Linked DNA regions of Mytilus edulis. The protein of the gene in region 1 interacts with the protein of each later gene in a biochemical or structural test. Links are inferred from orthologs where the notes say so. Each region holds a gene or a part of one and is shown on either strand. Other genes may lie near its edges.

What was found.
Region 2: the proteins of transcription elongation regulator 1-like (region 1) and splicing factor 1-like form a complex in vitro, tested with the Homo sapiens proteins (3 studies listed by BioGRID). The link is inferred for Mytilus edulis from reciprocal best matches to the Homo sapiens genes TCERG1 and SF1.

The regions. Positions count from the first base shown.
Region 1 is NC_092347.1:74,835,034-74,838,970, reverse strand, and holds the start of transcription elongation regulator 1-like, read left to right. Parts: upstream 1-988; 5' UTR 989-1,051; coding exon 1,052-1,185; intron 1,186-3,473; coding exon 3,474-3,786; intron 3,787-3,937. UniProt on the Homo sapiens protein: Transcription factor that binds RNA polymerase II and inhibits the elongation of transcripts from target promoters. Regulates transcription elongation in a TATA box-dependent manner.
Region 2 is NC_092352.1:75,383,740-75,387,676, forward strand, and holds the start of splicing factor 1-like, read left to right. Parts: upstream 1-1,290; 5' UTR 1,291-1,300; coding exon 1,301-1,481; intron 1,482-3,937. UniProt on the Homo sapiens protein: Necessary for the ATP-dependent first step of spliceosome assembly. Binds to the intron branch point sequence (BPS) 5'-UACUAAC-3' of the pre-mRNA. May act as transcription repressor.

The DNA.
Region 1 (3,937 bases):
AAATCTTACACATTTCTTGTTTTAATGAAAATTCACATTAGTTATCTGCACTGATTCCTGTATAAAATTTTGCTAGCTTGATGATTGGTTATTTGCAATCCAAGATGACGAAAAAGGTAAACGGACAGAAAGTCACAAATTTGATAGGACAAAAAGTCACAAATATTTTTTCAACAATTGTTGGAATCAGAGACATATAATACAATTATATAAATATTGTATTATATGTCTCTGTTGGAATATATAAGAGAAATATCTTGAAATATTTACTTTTTAATACATATACTCATATTAAAGTTAATGGAATTTATCATTTTACTTGAAAAATGAAGATTTATTTTATTTTAATCATGCAAAAGACATATTTCTTGGCACCATGAAGCCATTTGAGTGCCAATCTTCTTTGACATTTTGTTTTCTTAACAACTATTTGATCATCTTTGATATTTTTTTGATAAATTTTGCTTACAAAGTTGGTTAATATACAATACATCAAGAAAAATACAAAAATATTTTTGTAAAAATAAGCATTTTTTATTCAAAGAAAATAATCAGAAAAAATGAATTGTGACTTTTTGTCCTGTGACTTTTTGTCTGTGACTTTTTGTCCTGTGACTTTCTGTCCTACATTCGGCGAAAAACAGTCATATTAACTTTTAAAATATGCATTAGCTCTGTCTCTTGATATGATTTGTCTGAGCTGGCATTATAGACGAATTCAACCTAGATTTTAACATCGAGACAATATCGAGAATAGTGTGATTGTGAAGACGGTTCGACTCGTCTTACTAGTTGGTCCGAGATGTCCCAAAATCGTGACAATATTAATATTTTATATTCCAAAGCCGAAGAAGTATTCTAATATGACGTTATTCGAACACTGTCGCTCGTGACTAAAGCCGAAGTAGTATTACTTGGTGTATGATCGAAACGCCTTTAAAAACCGGACGACGACGTAGGATGAAACAAGTTTAGCCTATGTTAGTCTACCAAGTCTGGTACCTACTGGAAAATCGGAACCAGTTAGCCTACAAAAACGCGACCAGACAAGATGGGCGACGATGAACAAAATGAACATGATCATCATGACCATGGGCCTAGAGACAATGGTGATCGTGATTTCAGATCTCACAGAAATCAATATAACGGCCCTCCGCGTGGCAGAGGATATATGAGAGGACCAAGGTACCAAAACTGAAGCATGAAAGCTATGTTCTGTATGGTCGGCCATCTTTGTTGCTAAAAATTGATCCAGTTGCCGGCGTATGGATAATTTTAATTGCCAAACTATTGTCTGCTCCGTAGGCGACAATATTATCATTTAGTCCAATATGAACTTTGAAATTTGATTTGATGTGCGCATCCATGTTGCAACAAATGGAGATAAAAAATTATCAAAAATTTTCACCAAAAATGACATGGACTTCCCCCTTTTGTAAAATTTTCTCTATTTATTATTTACAAAAAGAATAAATCTGCTAACTTTCCTGAACAACTGTCACTATAAGTCAGCCGTTAAAACGCACAATTTTATTAAAATCCACATCATTTGCTGTTTTTTTTTTCTATGGAGACAATCATGCACTGAAGTTCTTTAATTCTTTATACACATGACCAAAATCCTGAAAATTTTAAAGTTTGATTCTGTGTTACACATGCATCCACTTAATATTTGCGCAAGCAACAGATGTTCATACATTTTATAGTTTTGAATTTTACTCCCAAGTACAGGGATCTCCATGGATGAAAATTGAACGATGGAGGAACTTTCACCATCATAAACCGTATCTTCACCGTACAGTGTAGCGCAATCGAAGTATTTCATCCCTCCATATAAGGATAGGTGAACATGCTAATTCATTGCTTATTTAAATTATATTTATTTGAATTTTCATTATAAATTCTAAATAGAAGTATATACATATTTTCAATAATTGCCGTTTTCAACCCTTCAAAGGCCAAGCCCTCATGCCCCCTCCCTTTCCCTTAGTCAAGAACGACCAATAGCTATCACGGAGGTCCCCATGTAGTTTTCTTGCTATTTTTGGTAATTGTTATTTGGGTTAAAAATCATGTGGAGCTTTTTTTTTCACGGACACTGTCAAATTCAGAAGTCATGAACCCATTACCGGTATGGCTGGTTTGCAGCAACGACAAAACGAGTCGTACAGGTTATGTAAAAGTTAAAAAGATTTGTAAAGCAAACGTTGTCAAATGAAAAGGTTTTTATTGACTTTATCTAGCAAATTGATGCTATGCAACATTCATCTTTTGAGTCTGAATAGAAACCGGAAACGCGGATGTATCAATTTGATTGTTAACTACGAAATGAATTCGGAATTACGATACGATATTTCTTTACAAGAAATATTAAAAGTTTTTACTCTTTAACTTTTAAAGTAATTCTATATTATCGTTACAATACAGCAGTACTCGAGTTATTTGCGATGAAATAATAATTACTGTTTTACGTCTTATTTTTTACTTCTTAAAAAGGGGGATGCTGCGTAAGTCAAAATTAAAGCACGTGGTCGACTTGTTAAACTTTGTAACTGGATTATTAATTTATTTATTTAATCCGAATTATCATAAGCATTTGTGGAAACTTAGTTAAATAATTTGACAAATGAATCGTCTATCTTCAGATAATATTCTCCTGTCTGGTTTGTTGATCTACCTGAACAAGCTCGGGTACAAGTGATTAGCGATCTTAATCCGGATATCCCTCAGGCGTTTGAACTTTATTGGATTATACTATAAAAAAAAACAAAACCTGAGGGTTATGTAATTTCATGCATTTAATTATAATTGCTAAAAAAAATGGCGTCAGGCTATAAAAACGATCACAGTTTTGAACGATGGCGGAAGACAATTGAACGATGGCGCGAGTCATTTGACAATGACGCAAGACATTTGAAAGATGGCGCCTTAAACAGGCCATGGAGATCCCTGTTGTAATCTAGTAATAGTATATGTGTTGATCTGAATAGTACAAAATTGAGTCAATAATGTACTATTGTAGCAGATTACTTGAAGTCTGATTAGAACACTTTAACACCTTTTCAAGAATAATATTTTGGCAAGGCAATTAAAAGTATTGGGGTCAGTTAGAGTTAAGATTCAGAAATAATCTTACTCTAAATAGTTCTGATGTGTAGTCTCACTCAAGGTTCTCGTTAAGACGTGTATACTTGTCCTGGACTTGTACAAATCCAGCTGAATGTGTCACTTTTGAAACTTGTGAGTCACTGGGATGTATCCCTTGAGTCCCTAACACATTGTTTTACAAAAAATATTTGTGATTGTCGCCATTGTTTTGACAGGAAACTAAACTGGAATTTGATGTTGAAAAATCTATGTTATGTCTAGATCAGTATTTTTGTTGACTGAGAACTTTTTTTTTAATGACGTCTTTATTCTTAAAATATGATAATTCTGTTCATTGTAATTAATAAAAAATGAATGTCTTTCAGAGGACCACCACCATTTAGAGGTCCACCAGGACCAGGAGGTCCTCCAAGAGGATACAGGGGGCCACCACCACCTGGCATGAGAGGCCCACCACCACCTGGAATGAGAGGTCCCCCACCACCTGGAATGAGGGGTCCACCCCCACCAGGAATGCGAGGCCCACCTCCATTTGGAAGACCTCCATTTGATCCAAATTATGGACCTCATCCAGGAGGGCCTGGTGGACCACCACCTCAGAATTATCAGGGTATGCCTCCTCCTCCAGGAATGCCACCACCTCCAGGGATGCCACCACCACCTGGTATGCAAGGAATGGTAAGTTTTCCAAAAAGTCCCTCAGAGTAAACTTGAATGTTGGCCAGACTGTAACGGTAATGTTAATTTCTTTTTAAAAACTCAAGTTAACAGAAATTATAACATTAAAAATCAAGAATAATGAACATGATGAAAGAATTTGCAATTGATA
Region 2 (3,937 bases), on another chromosome or scaffold:
ATTATTAATATTTTTGTTAACAATGGCTTATGATATCATTATAAAATTAAATTGTCAATCAACATTTTCACTTAGATTTTATCTTGCATGTTAATTTAATGGCTGTACTATTTAAAATAGTTTGTTTCTTCCAATTAAAAATAGATAAGGAAAATGTATCTAGCCACCATCGCCTGCCCATAGAACCGATAAAACTGTCATTACTATAACCTCAGATACTAAATAACTTAAATCACATTTTAAAGATTTATTGTGACACATTTAACCTCTGCCTTGTTTCAAAATATTTTTAATTGTTTTCTAGCATTGCTTGTGATAAATAATTTACTGATAAAATACAATGTCATGACCTTTTCTATCTATATTCAATGTCTGTCAACAAATTGTCAGTACAGTTCTAATTTTTGGAGGTGACCTAAAAGTTTAAAAGATTTTCCCATGAAGCTGATGTGAAGACCAAAATTTCATTGGACAGGTTAAATATTGAAATCCAGAAAAAGTCATTAATTGATCATTGAATAAAACTATATATTTATGTCAAACAGACAAATTTTTTATTCTTGATTTAATTAAAGACCAGAGTTCCAATGTCACCTGTGTTGCATATATTTTATATTTCCAAAGAGCATAAATCTTTTAAAAAGTAGATCGTCCACATTACAGAACTTGCCCAAGATGTTACAGATATATTAACCTATAGTATATTTAAGTTTAATAGTAATCTGACAAGAATTACACCCGTGAGAGCGCTAACAAGACTGGACTGACACACAGATGAACAGACACTTGGATCATCGGTATTTACATGCCCCTCGCAATGTGTTATGCGGGGGTGGGGGGCAAATAACTTAAATGAATGATACATGTATATTGACATGCCATAGATACATAGATCTTTTACCAAATAAGCAAATTCATATCTTTTTCAGTTGAAACATACAGAAGCCAAGTGTCGTTTTTCTTGCAAAAGACTGTTCTGTTGATGCTGGGTTTTTTTTTTTTTAATACTAGTAGTTTATAATTTTAACTTTGCTTTGCAAGTAAAATTAATTACACCAGAATGTTGTTAACTAAAGTAAAATTGCTGAAAGACCCCCTCCTAAATTATAGAAATCTATTATTTAACATTAATCATGGGGTTTTTTAATATTGTTTGGCCGAAATATAACCTTAAAAAATGCCCATGACTCATCCAAGGTGAATTATATTGGTATAATTTTGAACACACAACTCCACTACACTCTATTTCCTAACTCCATGTTTTCACTCCGTATCTCCACTCCACTCCACCTTTTAGTTCATGTCGTTAATTTTTGTACGTTATTGTCTCTTTTCAGTTGGTGTCTATTTTGGTTCTTGGACGTCGCTATCACAGAAACGTTTGCATTACTTTGATTACGCCATTTTGTTACACGACATTGTTTTGTTTGCCGGACCAAAAATGTTTCAGTCAACCAAAAGATCGTATGATTACGGAAATAGTGAGCATATTTCAAAGCTAAACATTCCATATTTTTATCAGTTTAAAAGTTTCATAGCCTATATGTCCAATTTATCTAACCTTGACTCGAACTACTCGTTTCCAAATTTTCACATTTTCCCAGAAAACAGACCTTAAGTACATGAGTGAACATTACATATGTGAAGAAACTACAAAAGAGGAAACGTACACAAGTGTTTACAGTGTCATTTGGGACACTTACTAAAGACTAAAGACTTGCCTTTGGAAATTTTAAATTAGAAAGTTACAAGATCTATGCCCCAATAAAACAAATTTTAAATCAGCTTCTATAGTCGCCGTCAGCTGAAATTCGTAGCGGTTATCGGTAAAAATAATCTAAACTATCAATCGCGTTCACTCGAGATATAGTTTTTCACATTCCATTCATAAATCGCATAAAGAAAAACCACTACTGACCTACCTTTTAAGTGATCACACTGTAATAATCCTGACCTTCACTTTTTCATAGACGATTTTGAATGGTGGAATCAGCCATTGTTTTTACCGGAAGTGTTTCCGTGGAGTTCAATTTCATAAAATTTGCATAAAGCGCGGGAAACCTTATCACATCAATGAAAGGAACATTTCAGGAATCTGCGTACAGTGACGAATGTCATATGTAAACAAATGATCCTCATAGAAACGAAGATGGCGGAATTACAATGGAAAATATTCTGGAAAATGTGAAGGTCAGGATTATTACAGTGTGATCACTTAAAAGGTAGGTCAGTAGTGGTTTTTCTTTATGCGATTTATGAATGGAATATGAAAAACTATATCTTGAGTGAACGCGATTGATAGTTTAGATTATTTTTACCGATAACCGCTACGAATTTCAGCTGACGGCGACTATAATTAAACATGGCCTTTCAAGGTGTCATAATTATTTTGACTAGCTGTGCACATGAAATGGGCTGGGGTATTAATTGCTAAATCACACATTCCCTGTAAAAATTTACTACATGTACATGTGAAGTTATGGCATATAGAGTGGAGTTCCTAGCAGCCAGTCTTCATGCTAAACCACAAGTCCTACGTCATTGGCTTGTAAAATTGCTCTTGTGCTTGTAAAATTCTTCTTTACAAACCAACAGAATCAGTGTTCTCCCCAGGCCGTTTGTACAACTCTCCAAAAATTACTTTTTTTCTCTTCCGGTAATACAAGAGCGAGAATTTTGGTTTAGAGCTAAAATAAGTTTAATACTTCTTTAACAAGTTATCATAATTGGCTTAAGTTAATGTTTAATCCATTCAATGCATTAAAAGCGTCTTATTCATTCACAATCTCTTGTCAAACAATGTTTATTCTCGGACTCATTTTCGTAAATTTTTCTACGGCCGCCATTGCACATTTTTGTGTAAACTACGGATAGGAACCGGACCAGATATGACAAAAATCAGCATTTTGACGATAATGACAACAGATGGACAGTAGACAGAAAAAATATACCAAGAGAGAAAACTACGCATTAACAGACTATTTGTTAGATAACTTTGTTAAAAATACATATCATTTTGATGTAAAGATAATAAACAACTGGGACTAATTCATTGAGTGCCATGAAACAATGAATTTCATAAACATGATAAAAAAGTTTTTAAATTGATTTTTTTTGCTACTTTTGCTACTTTATCTTTACTTAAAATAATAAAAAAAATAGTTAATTTTGTGTACTAGATATTGAGTTTTGTATATATACAGGTTGCACTATAATGAACCATTCATTCATTTGACTTATTGTTGAGTAACTGAAACCACATATTTATTTTTGTTTGGCACAAAAGGAAAAAAATAATTCTGTAACTATAAATGAATAAAGAAAACATAAATTGAAACAACTGTTTTAGTGGTTATAGTTTAAACGATTTGGTCAATTTTTTTAAATTTGACTTCTGTTGGGTTTGAGGGTAGTTTTGGGGGTGTAAAACTGACCAAAACAGTCTTTAGAGGTTGAAAATCGGGAAAAAAAATAATTTTAGTTTAACTCATTCACCCCTAAGAGATTTCTGGAAAATCAGGCATTTCCGAAAATTTGCAATCATATGCAAATTAGCAGACTCTTGATGCTGTAACTGCTGCTCATCTATTAAACTATGTATTGCAATTTGGGGGCGGATGGCATGGGTCGGTGGTGGGGTGGGAGGTGGAAGATTTTCTCGTGGGTTTGAACCCACCCCCACTGAAAAATGGTCATTTTCCGTCTATTTTCCGATTTTAAAACGAGCTTGAGAGGTGAACATTAACCAGACTGTGTCACTTTGTCAATCAAGTATTACCCTATAGTTACAGCAGTCCATGCATGCTAACTGGGAGAACATGGGACTTAAGTGTCTTGCTGGCGAATTATTATCGTCAAGTCAGGTCTGCCTAAATGTCCGTTTTTACGGATTTTTGACAAAACGGTGACCTAGATTTTACAGACTAGATTCCTATTG